Canis lupus familiaris: one gene and its partners. The protein of the gene in region 4 purifies or fractionates together with the protein of the main gene of each other region. This does not show direct contact. Links are inferred from orthologs where the notes say so. Each region holds a gene or a part of one and is shown on either strand. Other genes may lie near its edges.

What was found.
Region 1: the proteins of SPAST (region 4) and NUP98 purify together in Homo sapiens (affinity purification with mass spectrometry; 3 studies listed by BioGRID and IntAct, counting the BioPlex papers as one, with this or other methods). This does not show direct contact. The link is inferred for Canis lupus familiaris from reciprocal best matches to the Homo sapiens genes SPAST and NUP98.
Region 2: the proteins of SPAST (region 4) and NUP85 purify together in Homo sapiens (affinity purification with mass spectrometry; 3 studies listed by BioGRID and IntAct, counting the BioPlex papers as one, with this or other methods). This does not show direct contact. The link is inferred for Canis lupus familiaris from reciprocal best matches to the Homo sapiens genes SPAST and NUP85.
Region 3: the proteins of SPAST (region 4) and NUP133 purify together in Homo sapiens (affinity purification with mass spectrometry; 3 studies listed by BioGRID and IntAct, counting the BioPlex papers as one, with this or other methods). This does not show direct contact. The link is inferred for Canis lupus familiaris from reciprocal best matches to the Homo sapiens genes SPAST and NUP133.

What each region holds. Positions count from the first base shown.
Region 1 is NC_049242.1:26,382,007-26,390,188, forward strand, and holds part of NUP98 (nuclear pore complex protein Nup98-Nup96), read right to left. Parts: intron 5,166-8,182; coding exon 4,983-5,165; intron 4,272-4,982; coding exon 4,115-4,271; intron 2,473-4,114; coding exon 2,043-2,472; intron 1-2,042. UniProt on the Homo sapiens protein: Plays a role in the nuclear pore complex (NPC) assembly and/or maintenance. NUP98 and NUP96 are involved in the bidirectional transport across the NPC. May anchor NUP153 and TPR to the NPC.
Region 2 is NC_049230.1:6,159,164-6,168,002, forward strand, and holds the start of NUP85 (nuclear pore complex protein Nup85), read right to left. Parts: upstream 5,456-8,839; 5' UTR 5,201-5,455; coding exon 5,168-5,200; intron 1,514-5,167; coding exon 1,420-1,513; intron 1-1,419. UniProt on the Homo sapiens protein: Essential component of the nuclear pore complex (NPC) that seems to be required for NPC assembly and maintenance. As part of the NPC Nup107-160 subcomplex plays a role in RNA export and in tethering NUP96/Nup98 and NUP153 to the nucleus.
Region 3 is NC_049225.1:10,203,003-10,210,283, forward strand, and holds the end of NUP133 (nuclear pore complex protein Nup133), read left to right. Parts: intron 1-2,957; coding exon 2,958-3,094; 3' UTR 3,095-4,000; downstream 4,001-7,281. UniProt on the Homo sapiens protein: Involved in poly(A)+ RNA transport. Involved in nephrogenesis.
Region 4 is NC_049238.1:25,455,892-25,464,073, reverse strand, and holds part of SPAST (spastin), read right to left. Parts: intron 5,211-8,182; coding exon 5,023-5,210; intron 4,407-5,022; coding exon 4,273-4,406; intron 3,979-4,272; coding exon 3,885-3,978; intron 782-3,884; coding exon 707-781; intron 1-706. UniProt on the Homo sapiens protein: ATP-dependent microtubule severing protein that specifically recognizes and cuts microtubules that are polyglutamylated.

The DNA of each region.
Region 1 (8,182 bases), on a different chromosome or scaffold from region 4:
GCGGTTTAGCGCCGCCTTCAGTCCAGGGTGTGACCCTGGAGACCCAGGATGGAGTCCCACGTCAGGCTCCCTGCATGGAGTCTGCTTCTCCCTCTGCCTGTGTCTCTGCCTCTCTCTCTCTCTCTCTCTCTCTCTCTCTCTCTCTCTGTGTCTATCATGAATAAATAAATAAAATCTAAAAAAAAAAAAAAGAGTTCCACTTGGAACTGGTTTCAGTATGTATCTAGATATTATGAAATCCAAGGACCAAAGGGCATTGTGGGATACTGATTTCTCAAGTTATACTTCATGAGGTATCAAAAGTTGTGAGGCTAAGCTTATATATATATATATATATATATATATATACACACACACACACACACACACACACACACACACTGTAGAACTGATTCTAAATTAAGATGAACATATAATCAATCTGGCTCTGATCTAAGATTGATATTAACAATTTTCAAAATATCATGACATTGGAGCACCTGGGTGGCTCAGTTAGGTGTCTGCCTTAGGCTGGAGTCATGATCTTGGGGCTGGAGTCAGGATCGAGCCCTGCGTTGGCTTCCTGCTCAGCAGGGAGTCTGCTTCTCCCTCTCCCTCTGCCCCTCTCACCACCAACTCCTCGCTTGTGCTCTCTCTCTCTCAAATAAATAAAATCTTAAAAAGAAAACAAACTTAAAAACCTATAAAATATCATGACATCATGCATAACCTAGGTTTAGAATCAACATTCCTGACTGTGAGGTTCAAGAGATACTGTTGTTCTGTGTTTCTTCAAAGTCAACTTTAAAAATTAAGAATAGGTAATCACAGTCATTTAATCTGTAACAAAGCACAATTTGGGATGCCTGGGTGGCTCAGCAGTTGGGAGTCTAACTTTGACTCAGGGCATGATCCCGGAGTCCCGGGGTCGAGTCCCACATCGGGCTTCCTGCATGAAGCCTGCTTATCCTTCTGCCTATGTCTCTGCCTCTCTCTCTCTCTGTGTCTCACATGAATAAATAAATAAAATCTTTTTTTTAAATAAAATCTTAAAAAAAAGGACACAGCACAATTTATTATAAAAAGTAAATACGAAAATGTTATATATTTTGCACAAAACTGTATGCATACTGCCTAATTACTACCAGAAACTATACATAATAGGCATGATATATATAGATCCATATACATGCACACTCATACACATAGACAAAGTATATAGAACTATAAACACACATGTTAATGATAAGGATTATGTAGTAATATATAACATAATACAGTTATCAGATGATCATCTTTTTTTTTTTTTTTTTAAAGTAAGCTCTACACCAAATGTGTGTGGGGGGGGGGGGGCTTGAACTCAGAAAGCCGAGATCAAGAGTTTGTATGCTCTACCAACTGAGCCAGCCAGGAGCCCCTATTAGATGTCATCTTATTTCCAAATACTTATGTACAGATTATACAGTTTATACATTCACCTTATCAGATCCAAGATATAGGAATTGTGCCTAATTAAGAAGATACCTTATATATATATATTTAAAAAAAAAGAAAAAAAAAGACTTACAATAAAAAGGATGAAAAAAAAAAACAAGGAATGCTGCAGTATCAGCTTTGGGTCTGTTACATTTTCAACTAAAGTTTAACCATTAAGGAAGTATTATATACTCTTCATACCCTGATGGTACAATGGAATCATCTTATTAATCAGTTTCAGTTAATTTTTTTTATGTTTTTTATTGGAGTTCAATTTGCCAACATATAGCATAACACCCAGTGCTCATCCCGCCAAGTGCCCCCTCAGTGCCCATTACCCAGTCACCCTAACCCCCCGCCCACCTCCCCCTTCCACTTGTTCATTTCCCAGAGTTAGGTGTCTCTCATGTTTTGTCAGTTTAGTTTTTAGTTATACAAAGATCTTCTGCTATCTAAAACTGTACTAAGAACATTTCTAGAAAGATCACCAAAGCAGAGCCTTGACCTTGGGTCACTTCATAATGAAATGTTTTTGTCTTACCAACTAAGTTGCCTTTCTTAAAAAGCATAAGGAAAATGTGACTCACGATTTAACAGCTACTGGATTAGGCAGGAATCCATATTCCATAGAATCAGCAATCTGATGATTTTCCAGTTCATGTGAGCCACTCAGCTGTTCTCCACTATTAGCAAGAGTCCAATTGGGTCCCCAACCAACTCGAAATGAGCGTCCCATAAATAGGGCCATGTCCATCAAGAGTTTCCCCTTGCCATAGGTAACAGACTTTTCAAGAGGAACTAGGCCTGGTTGTCTGCGTGTACCCACGGTTTTCAATTGAATTTCAGGGGCTGGGCTGGGCACTGTAAACACAGAGGTCAGGGGTGGAGGGACAGACCAAGGGGACGTGGATGGGATATTCATCAAAGATGCTGCTCTGGGAGTACGACATTCTTGTACAGAGGCACTTGGTGAAAGAAAAGATCCACTAGTGAACTTTGATTGTAGTAACCCACCAACTGAAACAGGGGGAAAAAAAGACTATTAGAAAATACAGTCTCTATTGCTTCTCGAACAGCAATAATCAGTGAGGATGAAATCACAGCTTTATCAAACCAACTAAATCAGATATTGGTGACAAGCAGCAAGTCAGTGTGTGTAATGCTCTTTCAACCAAGAAATCAAGGCAGGAATTTTAGTGACAACGAGCCCAACAACAATTATTGACATCAAAAACACTACTACTACTATTTTGTTTTTTTACTACTACTATTTTAAAAAATTATTTAGCTCTTATCTGTGACTCTGTGTAGGCCATTTGTATATACTGTTTCATTTCACCTTTCAATAACTTCAGACGGACACCAATATTATCCTCATTTAATAGGTGGAAAAATTGGGCTCAGAATAGTGTTTAGTCCAAATCCACAAAGCTATTAAGTGGCAGCACTGACAGAAGCCCAGGGAAGTCTAACACCAATGTTCATACCCTTGTTAGAATGTCAAATGTAACCATTTCTTAGTCAACAGAAAAAGCTTAATAAGATCTAAATTCAAACTGCTACCACTCTAATACTCAATGCTAGACTCAATGAAAGAAAAACCCACCGAGACATCTTACACGTTTTGGAGGACAGTTCTTATTACTACTGCCTGTTTTCTAATCCTGTCTAAAGCAATGAGTTAGTTATTGAAGTATAAGATTTTCATGTAGTGCCCATTATGGAAAAGGTTGTAATGAATGTTTAACTGGTAGTTTATTAGTTACAATATTTTTAAAATGGAAATTAACACTTGAAAGAATTGAAAACTAAACAGTTTTTCAGACAACATAGACAAATCTCTTCCTGGTAGTTTCCTTGGCTTAAGGAACCAATCCAAATGTACTTAAATCCCTTAAACCCCCAATCCAAATGTACTTAAGTCCCTCTATCCTCAGTTCCACATAGTTAGAAGCCCACGAGAAGGGAAAGCTTTAAAGTCAAATATTACTTCCCTAGGAATTTAGGGAGATTTAGGAAAAGGTAGAAATCTGACAAGTTACTGTGCATTTTAAGAAGCAACATTTGCCCCCAGAAGGCAATAAAATAAGGATAGCATGAGGATTGCCCAAAAAGAGTACAGTGCAGGACAATTTGCTTATTCCTCTAAAATATGATAAAAATGAGGAAATCTGAGCTTACTACCTAATCCACATTCATAGGCAAATAAAGACATAACCCAAACAAAACACAAATGCTTTGTGTTCCACAAAACTTCTTCATCTACACCAATAAAGCTGATTATGGCTTTTAAAAACTGGCCCACTGGGCAGCCTGGGTGGCTCAGCGGTTTAGCACCACCTTTGGCCAAGGGCATGGTCCTGGGGACCCAGGATTGAGGCCCACATCATGCTCCCTGCATGGAGCCTGCTTCTCCCTCTGCCTGCGTGTCTGCCCCCCCCCACCCCCATGAATAAATAAAATCTTAAAAAAAAAAAAAAAAAAAAAAGAAACCCAAAACTGGCCCACCTAACAAATTTCTAAGAATACATCTCCTCTTGACATCCTTATTATCATATGTCTTTAGGGGGATATTCGCTAGAGAAGCTGACTCAACTTAGAAGACAGGTGAAAAGCAGGACTTTACAGCTTTCTTGTAAAATAGCATCATTTACAGTACCTAAAGAACGGGATTTTGATGAGTGGGATGCTGAAATGGGGAGTCTGGGAGAACAGATTTCTTGAGAAGTATCTGCTTTAGAAGGAAGGTGACTGAAGCGTTGATCCAGAACCATATCTACATCTTCTTCATCAGCAAGCAATGATGCTTTCATGATCTAAAAAGGCAATATCTATAGAATGAATGTGTTCCCTGAAATCCAAAGGCCAAAAAAGAAAAATGCAGTTTCCAATAATCAATAAACTGCTCTTCCTACAGGCTCTGTCCAGAGCTAGTATATTTGTGTGGCTGACTCTGTTATACTGTATGTACCTGAAGGGTAGAAATTATAGAATACTTTTTGTATCTAGAGTCTTGCCAAAGCCTGGCACACAGCAATTGCCCATCTGTTTGCTGAATGATTAACTTCAAATATAAGACAAAGGCTAAACTTATAGCATGCCAAAAGGCACAGGTAGGGGGAAGTTGAGATAGAGTTTAAAGAAACCAGTATCTACCAGCTTATTAAGAAAACTTTTATGGAGCACTTTCTAGAGCCTCAAAACCACCCTAGGGAGGAAACAAAGTATATTTTATAGAGAAAAATCAGTGCTCACAGATGTTAAAGGACTTGTCTAAAGTCACATGGTAATAGTTACAAAACCGAGGTTGGAATCCAGGTCTTCTGAATTTCAATATAACGTTCCCCTTCCCTCCCAGAATGGAAAAATGAGGCCCAAACATGGTCCATATTCTTGTTTTTTTTTTCTCATTCCAATGACCAGTCAATGCTCTTCAGTCAATAATTAAAGAAGCAGCCCAAGGTTATGCACGGGAGGTAAAGAGCAGTTTGGCTTCCTGTTGTAGGAAGGGTGGGTTAGGACTTCACCTGTAAGACATGTGGATTAATTCCCAGTGAAGACGCAATGTGTGTTGAGGCAGACACGGGCTCCTGATCCTCAGGCACGCTCTCTTCTAACATGGAATCCAAAACTGGCTCCTGGGTGATATCTACCATGTCACTGTCCAGCTCCACAACCCTCCCTAACTGCTCCACCTCTGGGCTCTGGCTCTGTAGACAGCAGAAAGATCAGGGAAGCAGCATTAAATTACACCAGACAGACAGCTTTTAGACCACATTTAGTTCATTCAGAACATGATATAGCAGGACTAGATTCTGCTGATCCTGCGACAATGCAAGATAGCATGTTTGCTAAAAAGGCTTCAACAATAATTATCCTAAATCCCCTCTATATGTACTTGGGAGTCCAAATACAGATTCCTGAAATCACCCTTTTGTAATATATGCAGGTCTGGTGTCTGGATCCGAAGCCCCATACTGAGCAAATAGTGGTCTTTATTATTATTATTATTTTTTTAAATAGTGGTCTTTAGACAAAGATTATGCCTTACCTGATTTAGCTAGCAAATATAATTTTCTGATATACACAGGATAACCCTGCCCTTACACTGCCTTGTAGCCAGAAGCCTTTGGGAAAAGAGATTAAAAGGTCTCCAACAACTTGGCATTTTTAAAATGAAAACAATTAGAAATAAATTTCCAGTGAACATAATTTGGGGCCTGGAGTTTACTTTTTGGGTAACCGAATCCTAAAAGTCAGCTGGGCTCTATATATGTAGTACCATATAAGATACAATGTTTATTTTCCCAAAAGGAAAAACAAAGTAATATTAGGAACTGTTTGGTGTTTTTCTTTTTCGTTTTGTTTTTTAAAATAAGCTCTATGCCTAAGGTGGGGGCTTGAACTGCTGATCCTAAGATCAAGAGTCCCATGCTTTACTGACTGAGCCAGCCAGGTGCCCCTAGGAACAATAGAATCTTGGAATAATCCTTTTGTTCAAGTGCTTAGAATTAGATTTACATTTATTAAGCAGTTTTCAAGATATACTCATGACTAACAGTTTATGATCTGGAAAGGTAATAACTCATCAATCTGTAGGACACTGTAAAATAACTGGTTCAGCACAAATTCATTAAGTATATCCTAAACTTGCATAGTACATCTGATAAAATGGTATCAAGTGGCTAAACCAATTTATGAAACATTCTCAAAATCAAAAAGTTTTACTAATTATTTTTATCATGGTATCATCTGTAGATTATTAATATTCCAAAGTTTGAGGCTTATCTTCATAAGTGGCCTATTTCACAGAGACCTTCAAATTGATGCTATTATGTTAACAGGTAGTTTAAAAAAATAATTTCATGGTTACTGTGGACAAAGAAATAGCCATTAATGTAACTTTTTCAACTTTAAAAAAATAAAAAAGTAGACTTGGTCACAATGTTCCTATTTTACTTACAAGAACTGTGGGAACACTCTAACTCCAAAGGTTCCTTCACAAGTTAGTTTTTAACCAATTCACTTTTAGGAAAAGTTATTAAACTACTTCACATCCTCTGTGTCAGCCTATCAGTGAGGATACTCTCTGTCTGTTGGGCTCCTATAATACCCCGTCTAAACTGTTTTTAATAATTTATCATGATATATTATGATTTCTCACATATGCAGTATTTATTTGTCCCACCACATTGTCAAGGCTTGGAAACAGATTATAGCCTACTTTTATTCTCTGTATCTATTATCAAGCATATTGTTAAAGTCAACATTCATCGGATATTCTCTTCATCAATTCTACTGCCTAGTGTGATCCCTGGCACACAGTAGCAAAAGCAATTGATAATATGAAAGAACAAGGAGTGAAGATGGGTGGGAGGAAAGGAAAAAAGGGGAGGATGGTTTCAACTTACACTACTCAACAAAGAAATAACAGCAGCAAGAGATGTTCACTTAGAACAATTTGATGAAATCTACCCATTTTGCCTTAAACGACTTAGAGACCTAAGGGACCCAGAGTATTTTTAAGAAGTATCAAGGTTTTATTTGCTCCACCCTCATGCATAGATTTTGAAGCTATGAGGTATCATGTAATAACTGGATAAGGGGGAAACTATGAAACTATGAGGAACTAGTAAGCTCCTAGGACCCCCATTAGTGAATTTGTTAAAGTATATCTAAGCAATTGCAATAAACTCCCCCAAAAGATGTCTGTGTACTTATTTTCAGAGAAATCTTGGGAGATCAGGTGCTTCTTCAAAGCCAGTCCTGAAAAGAAAAATAGACTAATAATAATAATAATAGAAAGATGGCTCAAAAGGGATCAAGGAAGTTGTTTTTTTTTGGTTTTGTTTTTAAAGGAAGCCCTTAGGAAATCTATGGAAAAGAGCAAATAAAATACTGGGAAAAGCAGACAAACAGAATATCTCTTTCATATATTATAATCTCTGAAAGTTGATCTTACTTATGTCTAAATACCAGCACAGTATATTACAATTCCTACATACAAAGGTACTATCTGTAAAATGACCGTCTCTTTAGATATATGGAGAGTGAAGTTTCATGAATGAAACCTTCCATGAGGGACACCTGGGTGGCTCAGCAGTTAAGCATCTGCATTCGGCTCAGCGTGTGATCCTGGAGTCCCAGGATTGAGTCCCACATCGAGCTCCCTGCATGGAGCCTGATTCTCCCTCTGTCTATGTCTCTGCCTCTCTCTCTGTGTCTCTCATGAATAAATAAAATCTTAAAAAAAAAAAAAAAAGAAAACCTTCAATGATTTTAGGAACCTTCACTTTCCACCTCAAGAGAATATTCCTCATACAAAGCTGCCAAACCCTGAAAATAAAGCACCTCTTAATCTAGAACATAAAGTAATTCAAGTAGGTAAAGTAAATCATGACATCCTTTATTCAAAAAAGGGTGAAAAACCAATCCATGGTCAAACAGATATTTAAATAATTCATACTGTCCTTCCCCTCAGTTTTATCTAGTATAACTATTACTGTTGCCTGCTACCAAAATAACTGGTTTCCTAACTGCAAAAAATGTTTCATATTCATTTGGCTGGAAAATCAACCCTATCAACATTACAGTGTTCTCAGGAGGAATTTCATGTCAGGGTTTCAAGGGCCACCAAAGTGTGTATATTTCTAAACATATATTCAGGGATATTACAACAAGAAGTGTAGGACAGTGCAACATTAATATCTAAAACAAAAAGGCTTCT
Region 2 (8,839 bases), on a different chromosome or scaffold from region 4:
CAGTGATAAAAAGGCTCTATAATGATAAATTATAAACCACCAACTTGTGGAAATTCCTTATATAACAGCTTCTTGAACAAGCTGATGATGTTCAATGGCTTGTCTCTAATGAGATTTCAACAGACATAAACAGAAAACCTCATGTTTCCAACAATCGAGGACAAACTAAAAATGCTGATAAGCTTTCCCATGAAGTATGAAAAGAGGCCAGACATATTCAAAGAAGGTTCTATTCTAAGCAATTGTCCCTTTGGCAGCTTCTACAGTTCTGCCAAGCTTGAGATCTTTAATACCAAAATATCCCATAAATATTTGGCAACATCAGGGACAACGGTCAACAATAAAATCAAGGAAAATCACGTCGAAAAAAATTTTTTTAACTATAGCACTTCATGGGGGATCCCTGGGTGGCGCAGTGGTTTAGTGCCTGTCTTTGGCCCAGGGCGCGATCCTGGAGACCCGGGATCGAATCCCACGTCGGGCTCCCAGTGCATGGAGCCTGCTTCTCCCTCTGCCTATGTCTATGCCTCTCTCTCTCTCTCTCTCTCTCTCTCTCTCTGTGACTATCATAAATTAAAAAAAAAAAAAACTATATAGCACTTCAAAATTGCATGAACTGCACACCCCATGATTTGCCAAAATTATAAGACTTTCATTAGATCAATCTCCTCTTTATAAAAGAGGAAAATCTCCACATTTGGATAAAGAACATGTCGAAGATTTGCAAAAAAAATCTCTTCAACATTTGCAGAGACTTCTCTTGAAAAGGAGAAAGCAAAATCAAATGTCAAAATGTAGCCTTATCTTGCTACTAGAGGAGTCTGTCACAGGAAGAAAAGATCCATGTCCAAAACCTGAAGGAGCTTAGAGAACAAGGAAGAGCCATTTCACCCTCCAGATCTTTTGTGCTTTGTATCAATAGCCATAAGAATTCATCAAATTCACAATAATACAAAGGTAAGGGCTAGGAGAACTAAGGTTTCACCGTACGGGAGCTACTGTGAAGGGAATTTAGTCATTCTGGTCAAGAATGGGAAAAAACTTGAAATTTTTAAATATGAAGGCACACCACAAAAATTATTAATTTTTTTCCTTAGAGTCAACATCTGCCACATCTCATAAATGAATCAAAATCTTAAACAACTTGGGCAGCCGGGTAGCTCAGCGGTTTAGCGCCACCTTCAGCCCAAATGCCTGATCCTGGAGTCCTGGGATCAAGTCCCGCGTCGGGCTCCCTGCATGGAGTCAGCTTCTCCCTCTGCCTGTGTCTCTGCCTCTCTGTGTGTTTCTCATGAATAAATAAATAAAATCTTTAGAAAAAAAAAAATCTTAACTAAGGTTCCAAAAATGAAAATGGTACAAAGTTTGTTCAACTGCCGCAGTTAGTTAAATCTGAGAGAATAAGGGAAAAAAACCTACCGTTTTTGTTGAAGGAGGTTTCACACACCAGCATCTCCCCTGGACCCCAGTCAAAACACATTTGCTTCATCTTGGAATTCACTCCTGGAATCAACTAGTAAAATAAAGGTACAGACACTGTTATTTTAACTAGAGCCTTTGCTTTCAATTGATTTGCAAGTATAACCCTAGAAATAAATGGTTATGAAAGTTAAGAGCTGATCTATGTATATACAGCTGAGTGTGGTTGAGATCAGCTAGTGTGTTAAACCCTGAATAAGCAAGTGAGCTTTGCCAGGCACCTCAACCCAGCCTGCCACTTTGCAAGTGTTGATATAAAGGAAAGCTGCCCTTAATCAATTACTATATATAATTTAGTAATCTATAGTTTAGAAAAAGAGGATTTTAAAAAAATAAAAAGGATGGGACACCTGGGTAGCTCAGTGGTTGGGCATCTGCCTTTGGCTCAGGGCATGATCCTGGAGTCCCAGGATCGAGTTCCACATTGGGCTCCCTGCATGGAGCCTGCTTCTCCCTCTGCCTATGTCTCTGCCCGCCCCCCCCCCCCCGCCCCGTGTGTGACTATCATAAATAAATAAATTAAAAAAAAATTAAAAAATAAAAAATAAACTCAACTGTTTACTTACTAAAAGGAGCCCTCCAATACCATGTCTTCTGTGCCATCTCTTTAATGAAGACTTTTTCTCCCCAACTCAGATCAACCCCTTTGGGCCTCAGCCTTATATACTCAACTACCTAATTCACACCTTTATAGATTACCTAACCTCTAGAGCTATATCCATAACAACAGAACCAAAAAGGATTCTTGGTGCTCACGTCCAAGTCTCTCCCACCAGGACAAAGCCTTTCCCAAACTGTTAGGAGCAATCTTCGATTCTTCTCTTTTCCTTACGACCTTTGTCTAATCAGTAAATCCCGTTCTACTCTTAAATAAGCCTGAATCCAACCACTTACCAAGTCTAGCAGTCTAACCCAAGTCACCATCAACTCTCATATGACTACAACAGCATTTCTTCAGTGCCTGAAATGACTCTCCTACATGGTTATCTGTCCTATAAATACATAAAAGCTTGCAAGGGGAGGGGATTCCAGGATTCTTGTTCACTGCCTAGAAGAGACCCTGGCACAAAGTTGGCACTCCATAAACATTTTTGCCAGAGAATAAATTTGGCTGGCAATATTCTGGTCTCAAGACAAGTGCAGTCAGTTCTCAGAAAGGGCTAATGCAGTCATCCAACAACTAAGCAATGTCTAGTAAGCCTTTTTCTGTACTGTGCTCTAGAAATACAACAATGTTAGAATACAGTTTCTGCCCTCCAAAAGCTAGTAGTCTACTGAGAAGTCCAATAAACAGGCAGTAAGAAAAGTGGAGCAATGCTAAGACAGAGATAAACACAAAAGAGGATTTTTTAGCAGATTCTTAATGGATGAATAGGCCAGGCAAGGGGGAAGTATTACGCACAGTGGTGCTGAAGGAAATGAGTATCTATATGCAAAAAATAAACCTCACACCATAGACAAAACACAAATTAGACACAAACATAGAGTAAAATCTGTAAAATTGGAAAAGCACAGTAGAAAACCTTTTTGATCTTAAAGAAAAGATAGGACACAAAAAGCACAAACTACAGAACAACTTATAATCCGGGACATCAAAATTAAGCTTTTGCTGTTAAAAAGATAGAATTAAGAAAATGAAAAGGGAAGCCACAGACTGGGATAAAACACGTATTTGATATATAGAATATAAAAAGAAGTCTTACAATTCATTATTTTTAAAAATATGGTACGTGGGATGCCTAGGTGGCTCAACGGTTGGGCATCTGCCTTCAGCCCAGGTCGTGATCCTGGAGTCCCGGGATGGAGTCCCTCATCGGGCTCCCCACAGGGAGCCTGCTTCTCCCTCTGCCTGGGTCCCTGCCTCTCTGTGTCTCTCATGAATAAATAAATAAAATCTTTAAAAAATAATAAATAGGGTAGCCCGGGTGGCTCAGCAGTTTAGTGCCACCTTCCGCCCAGGCCTGTTTCCTATCTGGTCTCCTTAACACCAGTGTGGATCTGAGCTATCACAAGTCCATCATCACTACTGGTGTTAAAAAATAAATTTAGATTGGGGCACCTGAGTGGCTCAGTCCATTAACTGTCTGCTTTTGGCTCAGATCATGTTTTCAGGATCCTAAGATCAAGCCCTGTGTCAGGCTCCCTGCTCTGTGGGGAGCTTGCTTCTTTTTCCCTCCCTCCCTCCCTCCCTCCCTCCCTCCCTCCCTCCCCACCCCCTTCTCTCTCTCTCTGCTCCTTTACCTGCTTGTGCTCTCTGAAATAAAATCTTTTGCTTTTAAATGAATAAAATCTTAAAAAAAAAAAAAGCTTAGATCATCTTCATTTAATTTGTAAAGCATAGCTAATTATCATGGCTCAATATTAACGTAGTGGCTCCCCAGGATTGTGCAGGTTACTGGAAAAGTGCCCCCATCCAAAGATTCTGACATAAGTGGAGGAGAGAAAGGCAAGATGACACATAGTCTGAAAACGTTCCAGTGATTCTGATATTCTGATTTTTCTTCCAACTGACACTGACATAGCCCTTGATATGTAATAAAGTACTTTATATAGGTCTTAAAAATTTAACACTTAACAGCAGTAAGTTTTATAGAGTAACAACAACCCAAGTTAACTGCTATTTATGATCTCGTGTCTCCTTTTGTCCAGTTAGCTTTGAAACGACCCCCACCTTTAATCTTTGGTTTTTGTCAGACACCCTTTTGCCACCTGATGGCTTTCGCTGAAAACTGCAGGCAACTCAACCTTCTAAAAAGCAAAAATACAAGATCAGACAACCTGCAATTTAGTGAGGCTTATAACTGACCAAGAGCTAAGAGGTGCAGAACAAGTCAATAACGGACTAATATTTGACCTAGTCAGGGAGGTAGGGGGAAGGCTTTCTTGAGAAAGAGGGTGCTGGTTCTTGAATCTGAAAAATGAGGAGATAAACCTGAGAGAAAAAGAAAGTGTGTTCCAGAATGGTAGGTATCTCCTATTGAAAAAGCCACGAATCTCTTTTCAAACATTATAAATTAGGGATCCCTGAGTGGCTCAGTGGTTTAGCTCCTGCCTTCAGCCGAGGGCGTGGTCCTGGGGTTCTGGGATCGAATCCCTCATGGGGCTCCCTGCACGGAGCCTGCTTCTCCCCCTGCCTGGGTCTCTGCCTCTCTTTGCCTCTCATGAATAAATAAAATGTTTAAAGAAAATCATAGATCATTCACATTTGACACTCTTCTTAAAGTCCAGACAGAACTAAAAGCGAACAGAACAAGAAGAACAAGAAATCTTCCGAAGTGAGTAAAAACTTTTAGTAAACCCTGGCCAGCACGGCACAAGAGGCAGAAGCCAAGCTCACGGTATTGAGATGCGAAGCTTAGTTCTGCGGAAGAAAAAAAGCCCCAGTTCCTCTGCTCGGTCGGTGCCCGCTCACTAGAGCGCTAGTCCAATAGGAAAAGCGAGGGAAGTGGGATGGGAAAGTCAGGAAGACACGAAAGGGTGAGGGAGCGAGGCCTCCGAGCCAGGCATTTCTGAGTAAACGAAAATGTGGGGAAACAGCGACCACTGCGACCCAAACACGAGCACCTAGCTAATGGGACCTCCGAACTGTGGCAGCGAAGCTGAGGGAGGAGGCCGGGAGCCTCGCGGGAGGTGGAAGCAGACACAACCCTCACACCGCGAAGACGAGGCCGGTGCGAGGCGCCCTTACCGTGACGGTAGGCTCGCCGTCGAGTTCCTCCATTGCGCCTCGCCTCAGCAGCCTGGAACGAGCTCGGCCGCCGAAGCTCCCGGCTCAGGCCTCCCGCTCACAGCCGGCTGCGAGAGAGGACCCCCTCCCGGGCGCCTCCCGCACTGCCTGCAGGCCCAAACCCCCGGCGCGGCAGGGGCCCCTCCTCTCGGCCACGATCCTCCCTCCGCGACACTCTACACGTGCCCCTCCTTCATGGCGGGCGACAACACGACAGGGAAAACAGCGCCGGGGTAGCCGGTCCTCACAGTAACCTTCGGCCAGGTCAGGCGCCGCCGCGGGCAGCCCGGCACCGGCCGGGGTAAAGGCCCCCGGAGACGGCGGGAGCCGCGGAGCGACTGCGACTGCGCCTGCGCGAGCTGAGTCGGCTGCTCTGGGGCCGGAGGCGAGTGCAGTGCCTGGCTCCCGAGTGAGCGAGCCCGTGGCGTCGCCTGACTCTAGCTCTTCTCGTTCCTGTCTGGTCTGCAAGTTCGGCGCAGCTGCTTCTCTGAACGGTATCCGGTCCTTGCCCAATCCCCGTCGGCCCACTGGGCTTGTGCATCCAGGCGGTCGTCGCCACTCCCGCCCTAAAACGCTCGAAAGCACGCGTACAAAATTGATGCGGCCGAAACAACTGTGAAATCGAGACAGCTGGGCTTAATGAAATACAAATACTGGTTTGTTATCTCACCAAAGCAAAGGAGAAAAGGACACTCAAACCACGGAATCCCAGACCTTTGTTATGGAAAACTCAGAAGTGTCCCGGTTGTTTAAAGGAGTGATTGATTTTGTGAATACCGTATTAGCAAATACATACACAGGGAAGAAAATAGGACTGGTTCTAAATTCCCAAATAAGCGACTTTTTGATCGAATTGAAGATAAATCCAAATTTAAAGGTAAGTCTTAGGAAAAACTGCCTGAAGATGTGGCAGCTGCTTTAACTTAGAAATTTGATCTGAAAACAAGACATAATTCTAAAACGCTCCCTTCCCGGAGGTTCTTCTAAGCGGCCTATTTGAATTGGAAGAAAAAGACGACTTGGAGTGGTTGGGAAAAACACTGTCACCCAGATAGTTTATTATATTGAGGTACAGATTAAGCAAAGGAAAAAAAAAAAATCCCGGTCTCTGAAGACAGCTATCCATAGGATGAACTTTAATGTAGTTTTGCACAAAATTCCACAGTTCTACCTACTATGTCTTGATGCATTTTCCAAATGTTTCACAGAGTTACACTGATTTGAGTGTTTCTAACATCAGTGCTGTGGTTATGATGTCTGAGAAAAGCATTCATGTCCATTTCCTGGGAGTAAAAAGAGGCCTAATATTTTCTGAAAAGTAAAATGAACATTCAAGGGGGTGCCTGGCTGACTCTGTCAGTAAAGCCTGCAGCTCTTTTTTTTTTTATTTTTTTTTATTTTTTAACATGTGACTCTTGATCACACTGGGTGTCGAGCTTACTTAAAAATCAAATATTGAGGCCCCTGGGTGGCAAAATGGGTTAAGTGTCAGACTCTTGATTTTGGTCAGGTCATAATTTCAGGATCGGAAGATCAAGCCCTACGTTGGGCTCTGCACTTAGCATGGAGCCTGCTTAAGATTCTCTCTCCCTCTTCCTCTGCCTCCCCTACCATGCTCAGTCTCTCCCTCTCTCTCTCCCCCCAAAAAAATAAAAATTAAAAATGATAATAATTAAATATTTTTAAAAATGAAAAGTAAACATTCAATAGCAAATCAGTTTTAAAAACTGAGGGCAGGGATCCCTGGGTGGCGCAGCGGTTTAGCGCCTGCCTTTGGCCTAGGGCGCGATCCTGGAGACCCGGGATCGAATCCCACATCGGGCTCCTGGTGCATGGAGCCTGCTTCTCCCTCTGCCTATGTCTCTGCCTCTCTCTCTCTCTCTCTCCCTGTGACTATCATAAATTAAAAAAAAAAAAAAAAAAAAATTTAAAAACTGAGGGCAGCCCCAGTGGCTCAGCGGTTTGGCGCCGCCTTCAGCCCAGGGTGGGATCCTGGAGACCAGGGATCAAGTCCCACATCGGGCTCCCTGCATGGAGCCTGCTTCTCCCTCTGCCTGTGTCTCTGCCTCTCTCTATGTCTCATGAATGAATAAATAAAATCTTAAAAAAAAAAAAAAACTGGTTACCGTATCTGCTCTGGCTATTCAAAATTCTCCCAGCAGCAGAAGTTAAAAGTCAGACTTAATAAGACATTGATAGAAATCATGCCTAATTTCCTTCAGAAAAAATTATTCTAGGGAGTAGGATGAGGAGAAAGAAAAAAATAATAGGATAAAAGACCAAAAAGAAAGACACCTTTCTCAAAGAGAGACCTGAGGGGGGAAAAAAAAAAAAAAACTATTTGAATGACAAAAGACCTTGGAGAATTTTAGTACTACAGTTTCTTCATATTTTAAGATTGCCATTTGAAAGGGTGCTTGGCTGGCTCTGTCGGTAGAGCATATGACTCTTGATCTTGAGGTTGTGAGTTCACCCTCATGTTGAGTATGGAGATTACTTAAAGATTAAAAAAACAAGTAAAAAGTCAACTCTCATTTGAAAATAACAGGCACTGAAATTGTCTGACGTAGAGCTAGATAATACTGGGGGAAAGTATTGGAAACATATTTTAGCCTAAGAGCAAAAAGTTATTCTATCTATGGATCTTTTTCTTCCTCCTAGCCCCTCTCAATGTGCTTCCAAGAATGAGGTTTAATTACATAGTTTACATATTCTCTTTTTCTTACATATAATCATAAATGAATACTTTTGGAAAAACAATCAATATACAAATCTTTATGTCTTCATCCTTCTCAGGCTCCTCCTTTCCTTATATTCCTTGGTTTAACTCCTAAATTCCTGTATCTAGACTGAAGAGTCTCATTTATGCAAGAGAAACTTCAACCTGAGATATATCAGAACCCAAGGAAGACAATAAAATATTTCTGGAATCAAAATCTCCTAAAACAAAACATACTTATTGTACAAAAGTCCCAACTAAAAATCATTTTCAGTCACTCCAAAGTCAAACTAAGAATCATTCTCAGGAACGCCTGGGTGGCGCAGCGGTTTTGTGCCTGCCTTTGGCCCAGGGCTCGATCCTGGAGACCCGGGATCGAATCCCACGTCGGGCTCCCGGTGCATGGAGCCTGCTTCTCCCTCTGCCTCTCTCTCTCTCTCTCTCTCTGTGACTATCATAAAAAAAAAAAAAAAAAAAAAAAAGCCTGGGGATCCCTGGGCGGCTCAGCGGTTTAGCGCCTGCCTTGGGCCTAGGGCGTGATCCTGGAGTCCCAGGATCCAGTCCTGCATCGGGCTGGGCTCCCTGCATGGAGCCTGCTTCTCCCTCTACCTATGTCTCTGTGTCTCTCATGGATAAATAAATAAAATCTTTATTAAAAATAAATAAATAAAAGCTTTTATTTAAGAAATCTCTACACCCAACGTGGGGCTCGAACTCACAACTCCTGAGATCAAGACTTGCATGCTCTGCTGACTGAGCCAGCCAGGCACCCAATAAAATCTTAAAAAAAAAAAAAAAAAATCAACCTCCACACTACTGGCATTTTGGACAGTAAAATTCTATGTTGTGAGGGCTGTCCTATGCGCTGCAAGAAGTTGAGCAAAATTCCTGGCTTCTACCCATTAGATGCTAAT
Region 3 (7,281 bases), on a different chromosome or scaffold from region 4:
AAAATCCACATAAAATTTTTACTCCCTAAAAACTTCACTACTGTTAGCCTGCTATTGACCAGAAGCCTTACCAATAACATAAACAGTTAACACATAACTTTGCATGTGTATTATATACTGTATTCTTACAATAAAAGAAGCTAGAGAAGAGAAATTGCTATTGAGAAAATAATAAGAAGAATACATTTACAGTAGTGTACCGAATCCAAAAAATTTGGAGCTAAGTGGACCCATGCACTTCAAACCTGTGCTGTTCAAAGATCAACTGTAGTTACCTTCACCTTTTTCCATATTACTGAGAACTTAACATATGGAGAGTGTTAGAGATGAGCAGTTTTGCACATTTTATACACATGTGGCTCCTGTTATATCATGTTCTATCAAAATGTGTCATACTAAATTCAGGCCATGTGCAAAATAAGGCTTAGAGTTTACCAGTCTTTGCAAAAAGATAAGGACATTCTTTTGGACCACATGGGAAAAATATACAGTGATAAGTTATTGTAAATTCAGTCCTCCTAAATCGATGGGACTTTAATCCATCATAGTGACATTTACACACATTTGAAAGTTTTCTATATATGTATGTATGTATGTGTATATATATATATATATATATATATATATATATATATATGCAAGAGACATTTTTTAATATACATAAAACATGGCAAACTGAGTCCCTGGTATGTAGTAGTCACTCAACAGATACTTGTCCTTTGAATGCCTACAAGTATTTTGTAGATTCAAAGCCCCAGCTCCTCTGTAATGGATTGTATTCTGCCATCTTGTATTTTAGAATTGCTGGCTTACCCTGGGAAAGTAAAAGGGGGCTCTTGGAAAGGTAGTGTGAAACCAGCCATACCACCCCATATTCGGAGGTGAAACAAAAGCAAACTCTCAACCATTTGTGTGTCAGAAGCTTTTGTTTTACAGCCCATCGGTGGTGGTCTCCTTGCATTCCTTGCTTTTCAGATTTTTAGTCGCCTTTTATAAGTGATCCAGTGAAAATACAGTTCTATGACTAGACAACTTGGAACTTGCCTAGAATTGATATGGATTTTATTTTATTATTATTATTATTTTTAAATATTTATTTTTATTTATTTATTTATGATAGACATAGAGAGAGAGAGGCAGAGACGCAGGCAGAGGGAGAAGCAGGCTCCATGCCGGGAGCCCGATGCGGGACTCGATCCCAGGACTCCAGGATCGCGCCCTGGGCCAAAGGCAGGCGCGAAACCACTGAGCCACCCAGGGATCCCCGATATGGATTTTATTTATGAAAAAGGAATGCTTGATCATCCTACATGACAGATTTAATAGTGCATTCATTTTCAAAGACAAGCAGATAACACAAAGGTTAATCAAGCCTTTTCATTGTTACAAAATAAATAAAAATTAAAAATGAGTTAAGAGATATAGCAAAAGAACCTGACTTTTGCTTGAAAGTATTTGAAATACTTGAAATTCAGAAACAGCTAAAACACCTGTAAGACTTTTTTTCTGTATTTGAAAATGAAGAAATAACTGGATATAGTTGATTTCTCTGTGCTGTTGGAGAGATTTTCCAGTTGGGCCTAATAGATTATTAGAAAGCATTTGGACTCAAATCCAATGTTTTTCATGAAGCTTGTTCTCATAAAAGTGCCACAGAATTGAGTTATTGCTCAGGGTAAGTGTTTAGTGCCTTTTAAAGGTGACTTTGCTCTTTTTGTTATTCTTAGATTATAAATCATAGGTGGGCAGCAGGAATGGAAAGTTGTGGTTTTATAGAAAGAATTACTGAATTGTGACCAAAGGACAAAAAAAAGTAGAAACTATTATGTAAATAAATACATATACACAAATGAAAGATAACAAGAAGGTAGGGACATCTGTCTTTGGAAAATTTTTAATAATACTGTAGAATAATACTATATACAGTAGTAAATGTTTTTAAAGGACAGATCCTGAAGGTAGAGAGATAAATAGCCTCAAATTTTATAGGCTTTGACAGCCAGCAATTAACTTCAGCTTGTGGAATGTATTCATCCAACAGATATGTTTAACTTACCCACATGGAATTTTTTGGTTTGTTTTTATATATTATTGAAGTACATTATACACACAAAATGCACAATCTTTGTTGAAAGTATTTTAATTGTAGTAAATGATCTATAAATATTTTGGATTTAGCCTCATAACATTTATTAATCCAGATTTTTATTATATAACAAGTACAAAAAATGGTGCTAGGCACTTTGAGGGTATTAAAAAAAAAACTCCGTATTTGATTTTGAGAACTTAATGCTAATGTGACAAGTTATATTGTCTTATTGAATTTTTTTCTAGTTTTCTTTATCAAGTGAGAAAATTTTACATGCCTCTTTGTAACTACACAAATCCTGATTCTGGCAGTTCCATTTAATCAATGTTCATTGGCTTTCCAGCTTTATAGAGGACTAATGAAGAAATGATTCTTCTCCTGTCTCATTTCAGACTGTATTTTGAGACACTATAGCTAGCTTTCATGATATTATCTCTGCTAAATTATTTCTCTATATATATAATTGGGTATATATTTAATATATATAATTCTTGAAATACTTGAATATATAATTGTTTGAAATACTTGTTTTCAGGTGATTATTAGTTGAAAACTTCCATTCTGAAGAAATGACTTACGCTATAGAGAAAAATGAAAATATTTCAGATCTTATTTAAAAGACTTTAATCAGATTGGCTGTTTTGACCACTAGGCGGAAAAATACTCAAGCACCCTCCTCTAAGTAAACAATGTCCTGTCGTTAGACCTGCAAGTATGTTTGACAGTGGAAGGAATTTAGAACAGTATTTCCCAATAGTGGAGTGACATTATATTTTAAATAGAAGCACAGATGTTGTTATCATTAATCATCTTAATTCATTTGAGAGTTTTATGAAAATAAAAAAGGACTGTGTGTTTGTGTTTATAGGTATTCAGCTCAGTGAATACTTGCCAGAGGTGAAGGACCTCCTACAAGCAGACCAGCTTGGAAGCTTAAAGTCCAATCCTTACTTTGAGTTTGTTTTGAAAGCAAACTATGAATATTATGTTCTGGGACAAATGTAACTTTTTCTGATAACAGTCACTGTTCCTGGAAATGTACATAACATAAGTCTATCTTTATAAAAATCTTAGGTCTTAAACATCTAAAAATTTGTACAGTTTTATAACGTGTTGCTGAATTTTGTATACTATATTTTAAAGCTGCTACAAAACAGCTGTGTGACTGTAGTTTTGGTTTTTTGTTATAATTTCTCTTATCCTTTTTCCATCTGAAATTTATCACTTGTGATTTCCATGCTTTCTACCCTTTCTTTCTCTCTGTCAAGGGTTCTGGAGTTCTTACTCTGGTTCTGGCTACTTGTATGCACAAAGCACTTCTAGGCCTCATTTCTGTAACTCTAAACATGAACAAGCTTGCACTGTCTCTGAAATTGCTGTAACTTTAGATGGTATATCCTGAAGAGAATCTGGAGTATGTGATGTCTGTTTTGGTTAGGGCTAGTGGGAAAGATGTAGTAAGCTAGATGTGAGATATGCTGACTTGCTGTAGGACTAGAAGACTAAACAAGTGGCAAAATTCATGTGAGCTTGAGAACTGATTAATTCACTGGGAGGATATTAAATATTTCTACATGAATAATAGAGTATTAGAGTAGTGAATAAGACCCTTCAGTGTTTTCTAACCTATCTGTAAGTTACCGTAAGTATACAGTATTAATGTTAGCTACAGTCTTCCAGTGTGGGGAATTCAGTTAACTTCATATATTTTCAAAGTGTTTTACAATGAATTCCAGCTTTACCACAGTCTGACTAATGTAAAGCATGTGTTATGCTAGAAGCCATTATAAGTTTTCTTAAAATGGCATCTGATTTACTGAAAAGTGGTGGTTCTCAAAGCTTCATTGTTCTGACCAATGTCATCACTCAGTTTTTATCAGCTTCAAATAAAGACCAGAGATTGGACAGGGAGTTGCTGGCATTTCAGACTTTGGCCCGGTTGAATGCTCACTAAACAACTTGCTCCAACAGCTGAAAAGGTCAGAAGTTAAATATGGTGAAGAGAGTCCTGTTCCTGGTTTCATAAAGTACAACCATCATGCCCTCTTCTCCTCTAGGCTTCAAATCCAGCCTTTGAACATGGTGGCAAAAACAGGTTAATGGAGCTCATTACATTAATAATGAAAGGAAAGACACTAGCAACCTTGTCTTTTTCTGTTTGCAGCTTGTGCGTTGGACAGCATCAGGGCCCAGGTTAGGAACTTACTGATGGATGCTAAGGGAAGTTAGGAAGAACTTGTCAAATGGTAGCTAAGAAATTGTTAAATTCTTATGTTATAGGACAAGGCTTTGGTTCTACATAGACATTAACAATTTTTGCCTGTATGATCCTTTTAGGTAATAATATGCTCTTGAGGATACAGGATTGTGCCCCCTTCAACATACTGCCACAAATCTAATATCCCTAGTGTGACAGGAAAGCCAGTCTGACAATGACCCTGGCCCCATTGATGGCATGATGTGGCACTACTGCTGTCACAGTATAATGCATAGTCTTAATTTGAGGGAGAGAAAGGCTCACTCTTCTAACTCTATCTTGTAGTCAGCATAGCACCAAAATAGTTGGGTTTTTAAAAATTAGTAATAGTAAAATTAAGGCTTTAAGATTTTAAATAATTTTTCTAAATTTTTAAAAATTTGTTTCACAACAGTCTTTAGCAAAGAATTGATTTTATATAAATTGAGTAATTGATAAAGACATTATAAAAGTGAGCATGTTCTCTAAGGAAAGAGAAATTTTACTGACGTGGGAAAGGTTTTTTTTTTTTTTTTTCACTCACGTTGTGCTGTTCTGAAAGTCACAGCTTGCAGCCTGATTAAATGAAACAATAACATGTTTTTGAAAGTGAGCAGCCAGCTTTGTGTGCTGAATGTTTTAAGAATTTGTGAATGTGTCAAGGATGAAGGCAGAACCAGAGATATACATAAGGGACTTGCTGAAACTCCAGTGAAGAAAAAAGCTATTGATACCCTCTATTGTAGGAATTTCATTTTTGAAGAAAATTTCAAAACTGGATTGTTTGTTTTACTTTGAGGTCTGAACCAGAGTCCTGAAGTGTTATCACCCACCAGGCACATTAGGCCTGCAGGTAAATGGTACAGCGCATTTCTCCTTTGAGGTGGATTTCTTTCTCTAGAAACAGGAACAGAAGGAAAGCCACACTGTAATGCCATCAGACTCACTTCTTATTCTGTTGTAATCCAGCACACTTGTACATTTTGAGGCTGAGGAACTACAAAAATATTAACGTAGTCCCACCTGCTTATTCCTGGACCTTTTACTTGGAGAATGCCTGAAGAGAAAATAGTTTTACTATTTCTACATAAAATCTACTCATTAATACCAAAATATTAAAAATTTTGTGTAATTCTAAAAATTTCTAAAAGATTTTTATTTATTTGACAGTATGAGGTGGGGAGGCAGAGGGAGCAGCAGACTCCCCGCCAAGCAGGGAGCCCAGTGCTAGGCTTGATCCCAGAATCCTGAGATCATGTCCTGAGCTGAAAGCAGACACAGTCCATTGAGCCACTCAGGCACCCTTAATTAATTCTAAAATTAAAAACAAAAACAAAAACCTGTAGAAATGTGTAACGTATTTTTTTCTAAGTATATGGAAGAAGATAAACCCCTGTAATCCCACCAGCTAGAAATAGCTTCAGTTACAGGTTTGAAATGTATATGAGGGACACCTAGCTGGTTCAGTCAGAAGAGCATGCGACTCTTGATCTCAGGATCATGAGTTCGAGCCCCATATTGGATATAGAGATTACTTAAAACTTTTAAAAAGTGAAATGTATCTTAGACTGGGACTGTGCATACTGTGTGTTCTATAACCTAATGTGTATTGTGAGCAACTCCATGTAGCCTTAATCCAGTGTTCCCCAGTCTTTTTCCCATTGTCATTCCTGAGGAGTTTTTAGACCCATTTTGCCCTAATCAGTCCACACACACCCCACCCCCGTGAAAGTTTAATACTGCAGATTAACTATATTTTTTATGTGCTGTGCCTCTGGAGGGCACAGATCATTGTAATATCTAATTTAAATTTTTTTCACACCCCCAAGAAACAATTCTCCCCCCTTTAAAAAACCACATCTTAATTAAATAACCACATCATGAGAGACACAGAAAGAGAAGTAGAGACACAGGCAGAGGGAGAAGCAGGCTCCATGCAGGGAACCCGGCATGGGACTCGATCCCAGGTCTCCAGGATCAGGCTCTGGGCTGAAGGCGGCACTAAACCACTGAGCCACCCGGGCTGCCCAACATCCAGTTTGTTAATGACCACATGACACTTTACCACATGGCTATGCCATGCTTTATTTAATAGTTCTCTGCCTCCTTAATGATCTTACACTTGAGAGTAAATGGTTTGGGTTGGTTTTTTTGTTTTCATTTTTACTTTATTTTTGCCACTTTGGGTAATACTAAAATAGTAAGTCTTTGTACAAAAATCTATGTGCACTCCAAGTTCCTGTGAAATTACATGACTCTTGTTGAGTTTTTGATGTTGACACATGTTTAGCGAACAGTTCTAGTAATATTGAATGTCCTTTGCTCCCCTCTTGTACCATCTCACCCCCCTCCCCTCCTCCAAACGCTCAGAAGAAAGATACTGTACTATTTGAGTGTCCGTGTTCTAGGCACTTCGTTCTAATCTTCAAGTCAGTGTTCAGGAGTAGGTAGTGTCCCTCAGTTGAGAATATGGAGTCTTTCTTGAAGTAAGCTGCCAAGGTCATGTAGCCAGAGTGGAGGGGAGTACACCCAGAAATGCTTCACTGCAAAGTGCAGGCTTGTAACACACGGTGCCAGATACTGGGGGGGTGGGAGCTGATGTTTCCAGTGGAATCGTAGGCCGGTAGAGATGGCCAGGTCAGAAGTCCTGACTTCACTGTACGACGTCTTGGCCCCTCGGAAAAGGTCGCTTAAGGATCTCTTATGTTTCCAGAACCAAACCAAGTTTTGGGGAGCATTTAAGAAAGGTGGAAAGCAGTTCCCACCCCGCCCTGACTGCTAGTGGGAGGGAGGGTCGTCCAAGCCTCAGCTGTGGGACCTGGGAATGTGGTCTAACTCACTGAGCCTTGCTTTTCTGATTTTTAAAACTGACTCACCTGTCTACCCCAGAATAGTTAAAAGCATATATGCTTTTAACTATATGAAGGCATATAAATGCCTATATATGGATTCATAT
Region 4 (8,182 bases):
ATCACAAGGGCAAATATTATATTCAGTATCTTCCTTTAAAAAGATAACCGCATTTGATCAATTTAAACAACAGAAAAGATTTCCAAAAATATAAAATATGACACAGCTCCTGACGTATGGCAATCAATGTGTATCCTTCTCAGCAATGAGGACAAGGTCTAGGAAGAGCTATGCTTCTTTCAATTCTCTTTATTTTTTCTAAGGCAGAATGGATAAGGAGAGGTTACAAAAAGGGTGTAAGTCTCTTCTTAATTATAGAAAGATAACTGTTTGGAGAGAGAGAGAGAAACAGCTAAACTCTTTTCCTGCTTACTTTTCCCCTCTAGAATAGTTATGCGGGAGAAAGGTATCCAGATCCCAGTAAAAATTTGGGCAAAAATACATTGTTTTCAATGTACTGAAAAAAGGGGCACCTGAGTAGCTCAATAGTTGAGCATTTGCCTTTGGCTCAGGGCATGATCCTGGCGTCCTGGGATTGAATCCTACATCGGACTTCCTGCATGGAGCCTGCTTCTCTCTGCCTATGTCTCTGCCTCTCTCTCTGTCTCTCATGAATGAGTAAATCAAATCTTAAAAAACAAAACAAGTATATTAGAGTAAAAAGCAAATTCTAAAAATAATTCAGGGACAATGTAAAGTTTCTTTTTTTCATATCACTATTTCTAATTATCTAAATAGAACTCTCAAATTTTAAAAGAATTCTTACCAGCATTGTTTTCCCATTTCCAGGTGGACCAAAGAGTAACAATCCTCTGGCAGGAGCTCTAAGCCCTGTGAACAACTAAAAACATTTACTTTAGTTCACAACTATAATTCTGGAGACTTTTTTTCCAGACACTTTAAGTACTGTTATCTAAAAAGCACCATTTTTCTGTAGCATCCTCCCAAACAGAACTTGTCAGAGCTCTGAAGAGAGCACGTAATCAATAAATTGGTATAATTATTAAGAAAACAAAATTTTTAAAAATTTCACTGAGAAAAGAAAGCAAATTAGCTAAACAAAGACATACTAAACATAGGTATGCTTCTCTACTTCCTTTGAAATCTCACCAAAATAATAGTAAATGAATAAAGAAAATATAAATCTTCTAAAAGAATAAGAAAGGAGACAACAGAAGACACAAAATTTTGCAGAGGGAGATCTGACAAAGTGTGGTAAATTCCTCAGTGGAGTGAGGTAAAACCAAGTGCTTGCTTGTTAAGAAAAGTGTTGGGGCACCTGGATGGCTCAGTCAGTTAAGCATCTCCCTTCAGCTCAGGTCATGATCCTGGGGCCCATGTCAGGCTCTTCGCTCAGTGGGGAGTCTGCTTTCCCCTCTCCTTCTGCCCTCCCCCTCTGCTCATGCTTGCTCTCATGCGCACTCTCTCTCTCAAATTAAAAAAATAAATAAATAAAAATTTAAAAAATTAAAAAAAAAATTAAAGTGTCATACCGTCTTCCAAAGTAGCTGTACCATTTTGCCTTCCCTTCAGTAATGAGTAGAGTCCCTATTGCTCCACATCCACACCGGCATTTGGTACTGTGTTTTGGATTGTAGCCATTTTAATAAATGTGAGGTGGAATCCTACTGTTGTTTAACATGTAATTCCCTAATGATGAATGATGTTGAGCATTCTTTTTTTTTAAGATTTTATTTTTATTTATTTATTCATGAGAGACACAGAGAGGCAGAGACACAAGCAGAGAGAGAAGCAGGCTCCATTCAGGGAGCCTGATGTGGGACTCGATCCCGTATCTCCAGGATCACGCTCTGGGCTGAAGACAGGCACCAAACCACCGAGCCACCCAGGCTTCCCTATTTTTTCAAATGCTTATTTGTCATCTGTGTATCTTCTTTGGTAAAGTGTCTGTTCATATTTTTTGTCCACACTTTACCTGGGTCATTTTTCTTCTTTATTGTTCAAGTTTTAAAAGTTCTTTGTATATTTTTCAATACCAGTCCTATATCAAATAATGTTTTGCAAAGACTTTCTCCTTGTCTGTGGTTTGTCTTCTCATTCTCTTAACAATGTCTTTCACAGGGGATCCCTGGGTGGCTCAGCGGTTTAGCCACTTGCCTTTGGCCCAAGGTGTGATCCTGGAGTCCTGGGATCGAGTCCCACATCGGGCTCCCTGCATGGAGCCTGCTTCTCCCTCTGCTTGTGTCTCTGCTTCTCCCTCTGCCTGTGTCTCTGCCTCTCTCTCTATGTCTGTCATGAATAATAAAATCTAAAAAAAAAAAATGTCTTTCACAGAAAAGTGTTTAATTTTCATGAATTTCAACTTAACAACTTTTTCTTTCAAGGATCATGTTTTTGGTGTTGTATCTAATAAGCCATCCTCAAACCAAGATCACCTAGATTTTTTCCTATGTTATCTTCTAGGAGTTTTATAGTTAGCCTTCTACATCTAGGTCTGTGACCAATTTTGAATTAACTTTTGTGAAAGGTGTAAAGTATATGTCTAGAACTTTTTTTCACATGGATGTTTAGTTGTTGTTTTGTGGAAAATACTATCCTTTCTCCATCAAATTGCTTTTGTGCCTTTTTCAATTGATAATACTTGTGTCTCTGTATTTCTGGGCTCTCTATTCTGTTCTACTGATCTATTTGTCTTTCTTTTGCCAAAGACACATTTCTAATTACTCAGCATTTTTTGGTTTTTAAAAATTTCCAGCTTTATTGAGATATAACATTGTGTAATTTTAACATGTGCAATATAATTTGACACACAAATAAATTGTGAAATATTTACCACAATGAGGTTAATACATCCTTTTCCTCACATAATTACCATTTTGTTGTTTTTATTGTTATGATCAGAACAAACAAAATGGAAACAAAATCATAAAAACAGAGAACTGGTGGTTGCCAGAGGGGAGGGAGCTAAAGGGACAAGCAAAATAGGTGAAGGGAATTAAGAGATACAAATCTCTAGTTACAAAATAATAATTCATGGGGATGAAAAGTACAACATGGGAACTATAGTCAGTAATATTACAGGCGCAGCCCGGGTGGCTCAGCGGTTTAGCGCTGCCATCAGCCTAGGGTGTGATCCTGGAGACCCAAGATTGAGTCCCACATCAGGCTCCCTGCATGGAGCCTGCTTCTCCCTCTGCCTGTGTCTCTGCCTCTCATTCTCTCTCTCATGAATAAATAAATAAATAATCAAAAAAATAATAATATTGCAGTAATATTGTACGGTGACATATGGTTAACTATACTTATCATATAGTGAGTATAACTTAATGTACAGAATTGTCAAATCATTATGTTATACACCAGCAACTCCTATAACATTGTATTTCAACTATACTTTGATAAAATTCTTCAAACTTAAACTTATTAATTTAATCCTAACTTCCCTTTTCTCCAGTATGATTTCTGGCTCATAATTTTAAATCTCTCTTACCTTAATGTAAAACTTATTTTCTATTACCTACTTTTTTCTCTAAATGTTAAAAATGGATTGGTTATTAGGAACCTATATAGTCACTCCTATAATAACCAGTCAGCATCAATTGCTAATATTTCTTTCTTTTTAAAAACATCCAGTCTGTTACATCCATTAATCATTTCTATCTAGTGTAACTCACAGATTACTGCTAATATGGATTCAATAATGAATGCTGAAAAAAAAATAATGAATGATGTTATAGGAAAATGGTAATAGGGGATCCCTGGGTGGCGCAGCGGTTTAGCGCCTGCCTTTGGCCCAGGGCGCGATCCTGGAGACCCGGCATCGAATCCCACGTCGGGCTCCCGGTGCATAGAGCCTGCTTTTCCCTCTGCCTGTGTCTCTGCCTCTCTCTCTCTCTCTCTCTCTGTGTGACTATCATAAATAAATAAAAATTTAAAAAAATTTATAAAAAAAAAAAAGGAAAATGGTAATATAAAGTGTTTACCTCAGGCCTCAGAGAAGGAAGAATAACAATTTCTTGCAAGGCTTGTTTTGCCAATTCTTGCCCAGCTATATCATCAAATTTAACAGCTGTTCCACTAAGAAATAGAATTTCAGTTAGCTCTATGACAAAATATGATTCAGTTATTATAATATAAAATTTAAACTTAATGAAATACAATTATTTTTTTGAAATACAATTATTTTTATGTTAACTGTGAAATTATAGTTTAATTAGTAAAACCATAGTTTTCTACATTTACAGTAACTAAAAACCACCATAAAAATTATGTACATTAGAGAAGATACTCTATCTTACTCATGATATATTGTATAGATAAATTCAAAACTAAAAACTGTTAAATAAAACACTTTAGATGGCAAAAACTTACTTGTCCACAATTTCGTTCATTATAAGGTTAGCAAGATTGCTGTCCACATTCCTAAAATTCTTCAAGTCTTTCTTTTTACGAGCAGCAGTTGTAGGGGTAGAAGGCTTATTTGTTCTATTTGTTTTTGGCGTACTCTTAAAGGACACAAAATTGCAATGTAAAAATACAACCTAACATTAACACTTGTCATAAGTAAGTTAAAATTGGCCTTAAAATTCACAGAATTAAAAGTTTTAAATATAGGAAAAAGGATATTAAAAAACCCCAAAATTGTATATCCACTTCAAGGTAAAATGTATTCACTACAGAACTACATTTGGCATGAAGTGGGTTTATAGGGGATTTCATCCAGAGAGATTTAGGTACCATAAAATAAAAAGGGCCTCTGACAATTCAGTCATATAATTTTGATTGTTAGGATTCGAACAAAACTCTATGTTTAATGTTATAAAACACATTAAACAATTAAAATAACAAATTTAAAATTAACTATACAGCATTATATAAAATAGATTAGACAAGCAACTTATAACAAAATACCTAATTAGGTCCAAGGAAGTTAAAATAAGATTTGATTTTAATAGCAAATTCTTTGCAGATTTAAAAAAGAAAACTATATTCAACTTTCTAGAAACTTATCAATTCTCTAAGATATTACAAATTACTTCTAATAATCTCAAGCAAGCATATCGTGTTCAAAATTGTCTATTTGCAAAAGCATAGCAATTAAAAGTGACTGTCTCCAAATACCTTATGAGTTCCAGTTACAGGACCAGGTCCCTGTCTCACTCCAGAAACCATGGATAAGCCACTACAACTAGGTGCTCTGTGGTGGCCTGACAAACCTGTGGATCCAGTCTTCATAACTGTTTTTGAACGAGGCAGTGAATTACTAGTGTGTGTTAAGGGATCTTTTCTCTTTGGAACAGCTCCACTTTCTATCAAGGAAAAAGTAAAACCATCATGGTTAGAAAACTGTGGCTAAATAATATAAAATAAAGATGGATTCAAATTTGCAAAACTATTTTTTACATTAGCAATATTTCAAAATAAGATATTAATTAGAATATCTACTTAAATGTTCATCAGGGTTATCACTTTGGTAGACAAGACTATAGTTATTTATGTTTTTCCTTTTCCTGATGTATTATTTTGATTTTCTTATAAGGAATATGTATTTGTAATAAGAAAAAACATGTTTATTTGTGGGAACAGGAAGAGGATATAAAAAGATTACCAAACGAAGTTCCCAAATATTGTCAAGAAACAAAATGCAGTAAAGGATTAGAGTTATGTTGTATGGGGTGGAGGAGTACTGTACTACCTTGGTTCCAAATTAAGACTGTAAAATAGTATGAAAGTCCACAGTCTGTGCCCACCAAAAGAGTTTCTAGAAATAATCATTTTTAATTTAAGGGGTATAAAGATGTGGTGTTTAATATGCCAAGTATTCTGCATGCTGTATGTATGTAGATAAACATATGAAACACCATCAATTAAACCTAGAAGTATACCTGACTTATCTGTATTGCACTTCTACATAAACTACAGGATTTCAAATGTTCAAATCTCATTGCTTCTAATATTTTTATAAACTACATAACAAACATCAGTTACTAATAACAATGATTACAGTAAAGACAAATGTTAAATCAGTAATCAAATTACAATAGCCTAGAAAAAAGACAAAAACCTTATTTTTGTGTTTATCAAATCCCTTAAAGTGTTTTAATGAAATTCAAAGGAAAGGACTTCAGAATAGAGCAAGGTGATCAAGAGCTTTTTGCTATAAATAAATGTAAAGTTCTGAATCATATGTTCAAGGAACTAATGAATAGCAACCCTAAAGGACAAAAAGCAGGAAAGCAATCTAGAAAGGGGAATAACAATAAGCAAAAGCAAAGACATGAAAAAGAGCAAAATCTGTCTAGGCTAAAGATAAAGATCATTCATTTTAAGGGAAAAAAAGGAAAGTGGGAAAGAATTTCTTCAGACAATAAATATACAGTCCTGAGACTAAGTGAATAGGAAATTCCACAAGGAACTATGAGAATGATAGGAGACTTTTCATTAAAAAGAAGAAAGGTCAGTAGGCAATGGATTATGTTCAAAATGCTATAGGAAGAAAAAAGTGTTAACCTTTATCAATTTTATATCCTGGTAACCTGTCACATCAGAATAAGGATATTTCAGGCAATAGAAAGACTAAGAAAGGTTACAATCTACAAATTTTCATTGAAAGAACTACTAAAGCAGGTCTTTTTTTTCTTGAAGATTTTATTTATTTATTCATGAGAGACACAGAGAGAGAGAGAGAGAGAGAGAGAGAGAGAGAGAGGCAGAGACACAGGCAGAGGGAAAAGCAGGTTCCATGCAGGAAGCCCGACATGGGACTCGATCCCGGGTCTCCAGGATCACACCCTGGGCTGAAGGCAGCACTAAACCACTGAGCCACCAGGGCTGCCCTAAAGAAGGTCTTTTAGTTAAAAAAGCAAACAAAGAAATTAGGAATCTATGGGAAGGAAAAACTCAAAAAAGGAAGCATAATTAGAATATACTATTTAGTTTTAGGTATATAATACTAAATCATAATAATGTTAAATTTGATTTTTCAGTATAACTAAAAATAGTGATATTTATATATCAGAAGATGAAGGGTAATGTTGGTATAAAAATTAAACCTTCTTTTACTGAATAAGAAGTCAATGCACATCAAAATAGTATACCGATCAGTAATAGCAACCTAAGCATATTATCTAGAAACATAGTAGAACACAAAAAATAGAGTGAGACATTATATGAGAAGCCAGACTAGGGGTAAAGGCAGGAAGAAATTAGGAAGAGGTAGGAAGAATACTATTTTTCTTTACAAGCCTTTCAGTATTTATTTTTTCATCAACCATTTAAGTTACAATCTATGAATAAATTATATCCATTTAAAATGTATAATTTGATAAGTTTATAAAGATGCATTTAAAGATCAAATAGCCACTAACATCAAGATATGAAATGTTTCCATTGTAGCCAAGTTTTCTTATATTCATTTGCACTCCATCCCTTATTGCCCCGACCTAGGCAATTACTAATCTGCTCTCTAACAAAGTAGGAGTCACCTGATTTAGTAGTTTCTATTGATCTAGGTTCAGAGTCACTGAATCATTTGACATTTCCAATCTGCTGGTAAACTTATCTAGTAAATTTTTTATTTCAGCAACTGTACTTTTCAACTTTAGAATTTCCATTATTTTTATTGTGTAGTTTATGTTATGTCCTAAAATTGCAGGTTTGTTAACTGATGCCATATGTCAATTCTTTGAACATATTTATAAAAGCTGCTTTGAAGTCTTTGCTACATCAACATCTGGGCCCAGTCAAGAGTCAGTTTCTATTGACTAATTCTTTTCTTGAGTAATGGTCATACTTTCTTATTTTTTTACATGTCTAGTAATTTTGGGTTGAAAACTAGACATTGTAGGTAAGATACTGAAGTAGTAAGTGGACTTCGGCATAACTATTTCCTAAGAGAGACGAAGTAACTCATCTAAATGAAATATCACAGAATATTCCAGAAGTGGGTGACACCAGTAAAATAGGCTTGAATGAGCCAGCTCATTGACTAGGGCTCAATGGGTATCAATTACCAGTGCTGCATAAATTAGCTGTGCAGTCAATATGTCCCCCAACAAGAAAATAGAATAGAACAGTCAGATTACTAGGTATTTAAAATAAGATACGGTGATTTTTTTTTAATATAGATCCCAGGAAAATAAAGTTTTGCATGGCAAAACAAAACCGTGGGATCTCATATATGGAATGAAGTGGAAGAGAAGCAAGATAACAAAAGAAAGGCATACCAGCTCTTCAGGGCTAGAAAATTTTTGTTATTTACCTTGGTAGGATTACTAAGATC